3 linked regions of the Arabidopsis thaliana genome follow. The protein of the gene in region 3 purifies or fractionates together with the protein of the main gene of each other region. This does not show direct contact. Each region holds a gene or a part of one and is shown on either strand. Other genes may lie near its edges.

Region 1 (3,756 bases), on a different chromosome or scaffold from region 3:
CTCACCTTATAAGCTAGTCTAGTGAACATCAAAGTTTAGGCTTTTGTGTTACTCTCAGTTAGCATTGATCTTAAGCAATTGCATGAAGCACTGGTGGTCCAGTATGCTTTAGCGGTACCATGGCTTTAAAACTACATTTAACTTGGAGTTATGCTGCTGTTGCAGAAATGGTGATGCGTATGCTGGGGAGTATTTTGCAGACAAGATGCATGGTTTTGGAGTGTATCACTTTGCGAACGGGCATAAGTATGAAGGAGCTTGGCACGAGGGAAGAAGGCAAGGGCTTGGTATGTATACTTTCAGGAATGGTGATACACAAGCCGGTCATTGGGAAGACGGTGTACTCAGTTGTCCTACCGAGCAGACTATCCGTCCTGGATCATCTTTTACCATAAGCCATTCCAAAGTTGTTGATGCTGTTGAGGTAAAAGTTAACTAGTAGTTTATCTTTAGTACTGCAAACACCATATATGTATTAAACTAAGCTTGTTCTCTCTTTCTCCTTCAGCAAGCAAGGAAAGCAGCTGAGAAAGCACATGAAGTTGTGAAAGTGGAAGAGAGGATCAAGAGAGCGGTGATGGCTGCAAATAGAGCAGCGAATGCAGCTAGAGTAGCAGCCGTGAAGGCTGTCCAATCCCAGACCTTTCACAGGAATGATGGCGATCTTGAAACCAATTGTTGAGCATAGGTTAGAAGAGATCTTCCTTAACAGGTTTTCTTGTTCCTTTATGAGCAAAGCTAGTTTGAAACTGTAGATAATAAACTAGAGATGATCTTTGTATATCAACAAGAAAAAAATTGGGTCTGCTTCATAGAATGCAACTGACATACATGTAGCCAAAAATCCCTATCTTGATTAAACAATTAGAAGAATCTGGTATATCAGTCTTATAACAAAAGATGAATCTGGTCTTGAAAAGTTGTGTATGAGTAGAAGAAGTCTAGCTCTCAGTTTGTTCTCTGAGCCTTCTGATGGTACTCCTAACAGTTACAGCACTAGCAGTATTCATCGTGTAGGCACCTCCAGCCTTAACTTTCCCACAGTCCTTACATCCCCAAATTCCAACAGCCTTCCGTTTAACAGCATACTTGCCACAGAACTAGCAGAAGTATTTGCTGTGCTGACTCACTTCCATCTTCTTGATTTGCTTCCTAAGACTGGCACCATATCTGGTCCCTTAACAGACAACATTTCAACAGATTCAGAAACAATGTAAAATGGGCTGAAAATCTGAAATCAAAAGAGGGATCTTATGATTCACACAGCAGACAACATCTCATGCTATGAAGCATTTATTTGAATGAACTAAAAGCAAGGATTTAGGCCGTTTTTATTTGGGCCAAGCTAGATGACATTATACACTTCCCTTAATTAGTTGAATTCGGTTTTTCTTAAGTACACTTTTTTTTTTTCTTTGTCCTAATTTTTCTTATTTTCAAATTTAGTTTGGATTTCGATTTTTGCATTTACCGGTTTGTATAATAAATAAACGATTCTAATTTAATGAAGGACTGAAAGTTTTGTTTCGTTTTCGAATTAATTATTATGATGTGCTCTTTATTTTAATTTCATTTAAAGTCAATTATCAAAATTAAGCTAATGTAAAGAGTGTGGATCGTCAGATCTGGAGAGGTGACCAATCGTACGTCCCAGGTTATATGAGTTCCAACACTGACAAACGATGTCGTGGCGGGTCCCACTGGTTTTCGGTAACGCAGTTTTTCAAAATCTCTCATTTTCGTCCCTTCGAGCCAAATCAATGGCAAAAAATTAGCTTTTAGAATTCCCCAAGAACAAAAACAAAAAATGTCCGAGAGAAATTAGGGAAAAACAAAACAAATAAAATCTGGGTGTAGGGGAGAGAGAGCTCGTGCTCGTGATTTTGATATCTATCTCTTCGTTATCGATTTTGAACATCCACATTGTTCTTAGATCTGAAGAAAAAAAACACGGGTTCTGTTATTACGATTTGCTCGGCGATTTTGACACCAGGCTTTCAATTCTTTTCGTTGGAGGTGATTCGATTTCAGATCCATCGGATCTAATCTCGGCGAGTCGATTCGTGGTCGACATTTTTCAAAAACTGCTCGCGTGGATCTGAAGAAGAGACATTGTTGTCTTTTGTATATCGGCACTGAATTTTTCTGGGAATCTGTGTAAAGATGGATCCAATATCAGCGGTTAGCGAAGAGCTGGCTGAGATCGAAGGACAAATCAATGACATCTTCCGTGCTTTATCGTGAGAATGAATCTCTCTCTAGCGTTTTCTCTCCATTTGTGATTTGGTATTTGTGTCTATATAATAATGTTTTGATGTTTTTGTTTTCTACAGAAATGGATTCCAGAAGCTGGAGAAGATCAAAGATGCTAATAGGCAGAGTAGGCAGCTGGAAGAACTCACTGACAAAATGCGTGACTGTAAGAGGTATACATTCATTGAATCTGGTGTTTGATTATCCAATGATGATGATGATGATGCCTTGTTCTTCTTCTTTGCAGCCTTATTAAAGATTTCGATAGGGAAATCAAAAGCTTGGAAAGCGGTAATGATGCCAGCACTAACCGGATGTTGAACGATAGACGACAATCTATGGTTAAGGAACTCAACTCATATGTTGCTCTTAAGAAGAAGTAGGTCACACTTTTGCTAATTGCTTAACTGATGCTCATATTTATGGTGATTGATGATAATGAGGATGGTTATACAGATACTCATCAAACCTAGCAAGCAATAACAAGCGAGTAGATCTTTTCGATGGACCTGGAGAAGAACACATGGAAGAAAATGTCTTATTAGCTTCAAGTAAGTCTTTAAATCTCGTATTTTGCGACCAACTAACAATGAGATAGATATTTATTGCACTTTGTTGTTATATGATTACATACAACCTAACTAGAGTATTTACTGGAAACTTAATAACTCTCAGACATGTCCAATCAAGAGTTAATGGATAAAGGAAACTCAATGATGGATGACACAGATCAAGCTATTGAGAGAGGGAAAAAGGTCCGTTTTCAGATTATATGAATGTCTTATTGTCTCTTGAAATTTCAGTCTAATGTTCATGGAGCCGTGAATGCCATGTGATAACTTGTGTCCATTTTTCCATCTTCACTAAAGCAAAATCTCACTGCTTTTTTTGTGTCTGTGACAACAGATTGTACAAGAAACTATAAATGTGGGAACAGATACTTCAGCAGCTCTCAAGGCTCAGGTGTGTAGTTAGCCCACACTTGTTTCTTTCCAAACAGTCCTGCTTCTACCTGAATCTCATTTTTTTCCAAGATTGTGTATTTGTGTGTGAATTCTGAGAATTATTAAGATAGTTTACATTTTCCTTGTTCAGACCGAGCAAATGAGTAGAGTTGTCAATGAGCTCGATTCTATTCATTTCTCACTCAAGAAAGCCTCCAAGCTGGTCAAGGAAATTGGTAGGCAGGTTAGTCTCATAAATCTCCTTATTTCTTCTTTATATCATCATTACTTGTTATCTGCAGCTCCTTCTTGTCCCTTTCACTTACTCTCTGTCCTTCTTTTATCAGGTTGCCACTGACAAATGTATTATGGCATTTCTTTTCCTTATCGTCATTGGTGTCATAGCAATCATCATCGTCAAGGTACATCTCATCTCCTTTCTTATTCAAATGTGCACACACACTTGGATACTTGTTTGAGTTAAATAGATTTCGGTGTTCATCATTATTTTTTCTTGAATAATATGAGGTTATGTTTTTTACTTTGCTGGATACCTTGT
Region 2 (3,756 bases), 1.4 Mb from region 3:
CAATCTTTAGTCGCCAGCGAAGTTTCGCTTTCTTTCTCAGGAAAAATTAGCTTCACGAGAAAATTTATAATCGAAAAAAAAAAGTTTAAAGGAAAGAGAAAAAGGCCTCAAGGTTAGACATTTCTGGACAGGAAACTGTTTTCTTTTTCGTTAAGTGATCTTGACCGTCCATTTTGGATTTGGAATTTTAAGATCTAACGGTGGATTAGTGATTATCAGGTTTAGTCGGTCAGAAGAAAACTAATAAATGGATAAGGTTCATGACTTCTCGCAGATATAAAGGAACAAGTATAGGAAATTTTCTCATGACTTTGAATACATTTAAATGGATATGTTTGGTTTTTTACCATGCTTTTATCTGAATACAGAGTTTTAACTATGTTAAGTGGATATATATTATTTTGAAGAGTATGTTTAGCCAATTTAAGTAACGAATTTTAAATTTACCTATATTAATATTAAACAAATGGATTATATAGGTCATGAACCAAACAATTTTGAGAAAAATAAATGATACAGTTTCATCCTCAAACATTTATCAATCAAGTAAACAACAAATTAGGCGATGAACCACCAAAATGAAAGATTATTACTTTATTAGTCATCTGCAATCAACTAGTGAAGGATTTTACTACCAAACAAAAGAAAAAAAAGTAGTGATGGATAAATGGATTTGGATTTTAAGGAAGATAGTTTGCCAACACATCACCCACGTGGGTCTCACTCTCTCCACCACAACTCTCTCCTTTAACCTTTTTTATGAACTTTATATTATTGGAGATTTGCAATTGCCACCTCTTTAACAAAATAATTGGAGATTGCCCTTTTTAGTTTTTTGGTTTACATCTAACCCCCTCAATTCCACATTGCACAAGTTTTCGATCGATTCACGACAATAAGTAGAACAAACGTAACAAATGTGACTAGAGTTGAACAGCCAAAACAATCGAAGCAACTTTATTTTAATGTAAAACAAGCGTTATGTAATATTTTTTTGGGCGGCAAACAAATTTACTATATTTAATTACAAAAACAGAATAATTTTTTAATTAGAAAACAAAAAGTTTAAACAAAACAAATGTGACGAATGTAGAATAGACAAAACAATCCTAACAAATTTGTTTTAATGTAAAACAAGCGTTACGTAATCTATATATTTTTGTCGGTAAACTAATACTATTTTATAACCATGAAACGTTACAAAATTTAGTACATACTAACGTTATAGTAATGTAGTGACACAGTTTTTAAAAACATTTTTCAAGCATTACAGAATAAATATTGAATTGCGACTACAATAAATATTATTAAATTATTTTTTTATTCGAATATCATAAGGAATTTAATGTGATTAGTCAAAATTTTGGGTATTATTAAGTTTATAGAGATATGATGTACATTTTATTTAAAATTTGTCTACGATATTGAAACAATTTTGAAAATATTACAAGAAAAATAAAAACTGATTTCAAGTTTAGAGACCAACAAGCTAGTGGAGATGTTTTATTGGAGAGTCGTTTACATACGAAATTAGAATTAAAATATTATATATTTGAAAATATCCTAATAATTTGAATGGTTCAACTAAGGTGTATCGTAACAAAAGAAACTATACCATAAGTTTTCCAACATAAAAAACAAAACACAAGAACCACAATTTTTGTATAAATGGTGACAAATGTGCAGCTAAGAACACCTCTTCTTTGCTTTCGTAAATCGTCACCAATGATGATTTGTCGACAAAAGCGATGTCATACACATAATTACAATTTAGTCCCTATATTTTCTTCTCAGTTTCGATATCTTTAAAGCTGTCTCAATCACACACGTCGGCACTAAAACATACATCTAATTACAATTTAGTCCCTATATTATTTTAAAGTTTCGAAAGAAATTCACATGAATTTAAAAATAGATTTGAAGAAACAGAAACAGATAGACAAATGGACGACAACGGATACATCGCCAAAATATAGCCGTTGGGGCGAAGAAATCACAGTAACGGCTAATTTCTCCTTTTTCTTATATTAGAAAGAAAGCTTTCTCTCATCTCACAAATCGCTAATCAAATTCTATAGTAAGCTTTACTTCACACTACTCTCTCACTTTCTGGGCAGAAACTTTGTGGATCTAGAAGAACACACTAATCAGAAGAGTATGTTGTATTTTCTTTGATTTTCTCTTGTTTGATTCTGTTACAATCACTGCGATTCTCTCTGATTCTTGTAAAATTGTTGACTTTCAGGTGAAAAAGATGAACGACTTGATGACGAAATCGTTTATGAGTTACGTTGACTTGAAAAAAGCAGCGATGAAGGATATGGAAGCAGGACCTGACTTTGATCTTGAGATGGCTTCTACGAAAGCAGACAAGATGGATGAGAATCTGTCATCTTTCTTAGAAGAAGCAGAGTATGTGAAAGCAGAGATGGGTTTGATTAGTGAGACGCTGGCTCGGATCGAACAGTACCATGAAGAGAGTAAAGGTGTTCACAAGGCAGAGTCTGTGAAGTCTCTTCGTAACAAGATCTCTAACGAGATTGTGTCTGGTTTGAGGAAGGCGAAATCGATTAAGTCGAAGCTGGAAGAGATGGATAAAGCCAACAAGGAGATTAAAAGGCTCTCTGGGACTCCGGTTTATAGGAGCAGAACCGCTGTGACTAATGGGCTGAGGAAGAAACTTAAGGAAGTGATGATGGAGTTTCAGGGGCTGAGGCAAAAGATGATGAGTGAGTACAAGGAGACTGTTGAGAGAAGGTACTTCACTGTCACTGGAGAACATGCTAATGATGAGATGATTGAGAAGATCATCACTGATAACGCTGGAGGTGAAGAGTTTCTCACGCGAGCAATTCAGGAACATGGTAAAGGAAAGGTCTTGGAAACTGTGGTTGAGATTCAAGACAGGTATGATGCAGCAAAGGAGATTGAGAAGAGTCTGTTGGAGCTTCACCAAGTGTTTCTTGATATGGCTGTGATGGTTGAATCGCAAGGTGAACAGATGGACGAGATCGAGCATCATGTGATTAATGCGAGCCATTACGTGGCTGATGGAGCTAATGAGCTGAAGACTGCAAAGAGTCATCAGAGAAACAGCAGAAAATGGATGTGCATTGGTATCATTGTGCTGCTTTTGATCATTCTCATTGTTGTCATCCCCATCATTACCAGTTTCAGCTCTTCTTGAGATACTGGCTATGTTCACTCCTTTTGTTTTGTTTCGCTCTTCTTTGTACCAATGGATGTCTTAATCCTTTTGTGTTCTTCAAGGATGTCTTAATCCTTTCGTGTCTTGTATCCAATTTCAATGAAATGGTGAATGTTTACAAAGATACCCAGTTGACTTAATCCTCTTGATCATTCTAAATGTTGTCATCCCCATTGTTAACACTTTCAGCTCTTCTTGAGGTACTATGTTTACCAATCGTTGTTTGTTTCGCTCAAAGGATGTTTAATCCTTGTGTTTTCTGTATCCAATTGTTATGGAATGATGATGACTGTGTACAAAAATATTACTTTATATGAACCGAACACAGTATGTATAATATAGTTTGTACAACAATGGTGGTTCTTGTTTCTACCTGACCTTCCTGATTGGCAAAGCTTTCCCAAACAATTTTTCAACCTCACTTGCTTCCATTTTGATCTCATCCAAAAACTCCATCTCTTCTTTACTTAACTCTCTCACGAAATTCTCCTCGTCTTGCTTCAGTTCATTAAATCCTTCAGCCAATCTCTGGAACAAGGTCATCTCAG
Region 3 (3,756 bases):
CAATTTAGACCTACATTCATTACAACAAAACCATTTAAAACACACATCCACAAAGATGGAATTGAAAAGAAATGCTCTGACTAAAAATGTTAAAAGTACCCGAATTCTTTGTTCAAGCTGTTGGCTTTAGCAGTGGAAGCTTTTCCACCACCGTATCTCTTGTTGAAATCCTCCTTGACTCTCTCCAAGAAAGCCATTGGTATCTGCCTCCCAGCAGATTCAATAACAACAACACAATAGGCTGCATAACAACAGAGGGAAATGAGAAATCTTATTGTCACATTCCAACTAAAGCAAATTCGTGCATTGGACAACCAAAGCTTTCCAAACATAAAAATCTTCACAATAAACATTCCAAAGAAGCCATGCATAAAGCTGATTAAAATCAGAACGAAAACAACAGATTGCATATCCAATCAAGACATGGCATTGATTAGAAGAAAATCTGAATATAACACAATGCCACAAGAATCGAGAGCAACGAATATCCTACGAAATTCAAAGCTACACTGTTCTCGAACATTTGATTTCGAAACTAAGCATTCATAAGAAAACAGATGAACCAAGGCATAAACAGAGAAATACAGAGCAAAATCGACACAGATCGGGAGATAGAGACTTACTGAAGCCATTATCAGCGAGATAATTGAAAGTGTGACCGTCGCAATTGTAGGTAAATTTGTTGTTCGAGGACGGAAGTTTCTGGAGACACTGAGCGGCGACGGAGGTGAAATTGCCCTTGAACTCGGTATACTCGGCGAGGATCACCGTACCGCGAGCGACGAAGCTGTAGATCAACGATTGTTGTCCCATTCTTCCTTTTATCCAGATGAGAGAAAGATAAAAAAACGAAACCTAAGAACACCACAAAAATCCGATCGAATTGATGAGAGAGATTAGTAAGCGATGTAAAAATACACAAGGGAACGAGGGGTAGCGATGGAGAAAGCAGGACGCAGAGATCGGAGAAGAGAAACTATATGAGAGCGCTGGATTTGCGCGAGTAACAGAGACATTATTTTCCCTTTGGTAACGTTCAAATTTTGAATTTTTAAATATAAAAAGTAAATAAAAAGAAAAATTCATCATTTGTATAGTCGAAAATTGCCTTAATAAACTTTATTTTGGTAAATAATTCACGTCTAATTAATAATAGTATCTTCATGTTTTTACACCACGGTGGCTCGTTTTTCAATTCAAATGTGAAATGTTTATCAATGAGCATTTTAAAAAACAAATATATATATATATATATATATTATATATTGATTTTTTATAAAGAAAATTGCGATGTGTAAGGGATATTTGAGTTGTTAAATTTTCTATAAATTATATGTTATGTTACTTAAAAGAACGTTCAATTGATAATGTTGCAAACCTTCCTACCAAAAAAATTAAAATAATGTTGCAAACCTTTTCTTTCATTCCAATTCACTAACCTTCTATTCTAACCACAACCTAACTACCTAAATTTCAATTATTTGATTGTTGATCAAAATCTTTAGGAACACGTTAAACAAATTAATTAGCAGGTTCTAAACAATGCAGAGCAATTGTAGATGACAAGAGATAACGGTAGAAGTTCGAATTTTGTTGCTGTAACAAGATACTATGACTATGAGCTCCCCCCGTCCATTAAGAATTAAGAAATTTGGTTAATTACAACATTTGTTTTTATGTTTAAGCCTTTTGTTCGTAACTGAGCTAATACTGGAATCACTGATCAATGATGAATTTGGAAAAAAAGATATTTTGAGGAAGACAGAGACAGACTCTCTTCGACCATGGGACCTGAACTTGTCCTAAAGTTGGTAATTACTAATTTGTGCCATCGGCAGAGTCCACGAGCTTTTTGGCTGGATCCGGGCGGGTCCAACTTTCTCGACATTTGTTTGATCTCTCCGTTTTGAAATTGTTTTTTTTTAGTCCTTAAATTCAAGGTTTTATACTATTTTTGACCCAATCTGACTACCTTAAATGACAACTTTACCCTTGCCCGCTTTTCAACTTTTTCTTCTCCCATGTCCACTTTAGTCCTCGTTTTGTTCTTTCATAGTCTTCTAGATCTGTAGTTTTTTTCCGCGACCGCCCAAAAAATTCTCTGATCAGACGGTCGATTGGATCGGAGATTTAAGGTAAAGAAAAAATGGCGCAACAATCGTTGATCTACAGTTTCGTAGCTCGCGGCACGGTGATCCTCGTTGAGTTCACTGATTTCAAAGGTAATTTCACCTCAATCGCTGCTCAGTGCCTCCAGAAGCTTCCGTCTTCGAACAACAAGTTCACCTACAACTGCGACGGTCATACCTTCAATTACCTTGTCGAAGATGGATTCAGTAAGTCACTTTTCGTTTGATCTATGCATAGGTTTTAATCTTACACCATTCGGTGCTTACCTCGATTTGTTTCTAGGTTTATTTGCCTAACCTATCGATTCGTATGGATTTGTGCATCCTGAGTAGTCTGATTTCACTGAGGAACCGCATGAACCAAGCTTTTAGGGTTAGATCTATATTTATTAAACGCAATAAATCTCTGTAGAGTCTTACCTGTATAATCACTCAGATTTGGACAGAATCCGTGGTAGCTTTGGTTGATACTATGTGGAAGAACACCAACATTGATCTGAGACAGGGTTTTTACTGGTTGCTTTATTTGCGTATAGTTTCCTAGGTCATGGGTTTTGGCTGGCTTCATTTTTCAATGAAAATCTGGGGTCTTATTGTAAGCTTTTGTGACTATCCTTTAGTTGTTGTAGCCATATCAATTTCATATTAAATCAATGTCACCTGATTATCCCGTAAGGGAAGACAAGGAGATTGATTTTGTTCCTGTTGTACAGCCTATTGTGTTGTTGCGGTTGATTCTGCTGGGAGGCAAATTCCCATGTCCTTTTTGGAAAGAGTAAAAGAAGATTTTAACAAGCGATATGGTGGTGGAAAGGCTGCAACTGCTCAAGCAAACAGCTTGAATAAGGAGTTTGGGTACTTTTTCATTATCTCTTCTATTTGGATGATCTTCTCTTTTATATTCGTGGACTGACTCTTTTTGGTAACTTTGAAGCTCTAAACTGAAAGAGCATATGCAGTATTGCATGGATCATCCTGATGAGATTAGCAAGCTTGCTAAGGTGAAGGCGCAAGTGTCAGAAGTTAAGGGTGTAATGATGGAAAACATTGAGAAGGTTTGAATCTGACCCTTTCTGTCCTCAATGTATATATTTACATCTATGGTTGACCCATCTGAAAGAGCTCATCTAGTCATACTAAGTTACTGTGAAATCAATTACTAATAATTCAATGCATTACATCTTACGGGAAATGTCCAGTTTACCAATGTAACACCGCTTACATATGCGACTCATTATTTGCAGGTTCTTGACCGTGGTGAGAAAATTGAGCTTTTGGTGGACAAAACCGAAAATCTTCGCTCACAGGTTAGACTCTCTCATACCCTTATCTCCTGCATCTATTTGCCTACACTCACACACAAAGATGAACATGCTTTTTGAGTTCATAGCTGACTCATCCTATTACCATATCTTGTGTCTAACTGAACTCAAACTGCCACAGGCACAAGATTTCAGAACAACAGGAACGCAGATGAGAAGAAAGATGTGGCTTCAGAACATGAAGATAAAACTCATAGTGCTCGCCATCATTATCGCACTGATTCTCATCATCGTGCTCTCAGTTTGCCATGGGTTTAAGTGTTAAGCCCAGAAAATTCAAAACTTCTGAGATCTTTCTCACTCGG

The links.
Region 1: the proteins of VAMP721 (region 3) and NPSN11 purify together in Arabidopsis thaliana (affinity purification with western blotting; one study listed by BioGRID). This does not show direct contact.
Region 2: the proteins of VAMP721 (region 3) and SYP111 purify together in Arabidopsis thaliana (affinity purification with western blotting; one study listed by BioGRID). This does not show direct contact.

Annotation. Positions count from the first base shown.
Region 1 is NC_003071.7:14,828,924-14,832,679, forward strand, and holds the start of NPSN11 (Putative plant snare 11), read left to right. Parts: upstream 1-1,702; 5' UTR 1,703-2,163; coding exon 2,164-2,240; intron 2,241-2,333; coding exon 2,334-2,426; intron 2,427-2,500; coding exon 2,501-2,632; intron 2,633-2,709; coding exon 2,710-2,804; intron 2,805-2,928; coding exon 2,929-3,008; intron 3,009-3,159; coding exon 3,160-3,216; intron 3,217-3,348; coding exon 3,349-3,441; intron 3,442-3,544; coding exon 3,545-3,619; intron 3,620-3,756. Other genes in the region: AT2G35170 (Histone H3 K4-specific methyltransferase SET7/9 family protein), read left to right, coding at 166-424, 509-682. UniProt on the Arabidopsis thaliana protein: t-SNARE involved in diverse vesicle trafficking and membrane fusion processes, including cell plate formation.
Region 2 is NC_003070.9:2,709,209-2,712,964, reverse strand, and holds SYP111 (syntaxin of plants 111), read left to right. Parts: upstream 1-1,964; 5' UTR 1,965-2,155; intron 2,156-2,245; 5' UTR 2,246-2,254; coding exon 2,255-3,187; 3' UTR 3,188-3,440; downstream 3,441-3,756. Other genes in the region: NPQ1 (non-photochemical quenching 1), read right to left, coding at 3,578-3,756. UniProt on the Arabidopsis thaliana protein: Involved in cytokinesis. Acts as a cell plate-specific syntaxin, required for the fusion of vesicles at the plane of cell division.
Region 3 is NC_003070.9:1,331,817-1,335,572, reverse strand, and holds the start of VAMP721 (vesicle-associated membrane protein 721), read left to right. Parts: upstream 1-1,921; 5' UTR 1,922-2,146; coding exon 2,147-2,336; exon of another isoform or gene 2,337-2,842; coding exon 2,843-2,984; intron 2,985-3,063; coding exon 3,064-3,184; intron 3,185-3,373; coding exon 3,374-3,436; intron 3,437-3,572; coding exon 3,573-3,716; 3' UTR 3,717-3,756. Other genes in the region: VAMP726 (vesicle-associated membrane protein 726), read right to left, coding at 1-10, 100-241, 624-813. UniProt on the Arabidopsis thaliana protein: Involved in the targeting and/or fusion of transport vesicles to their target membrane.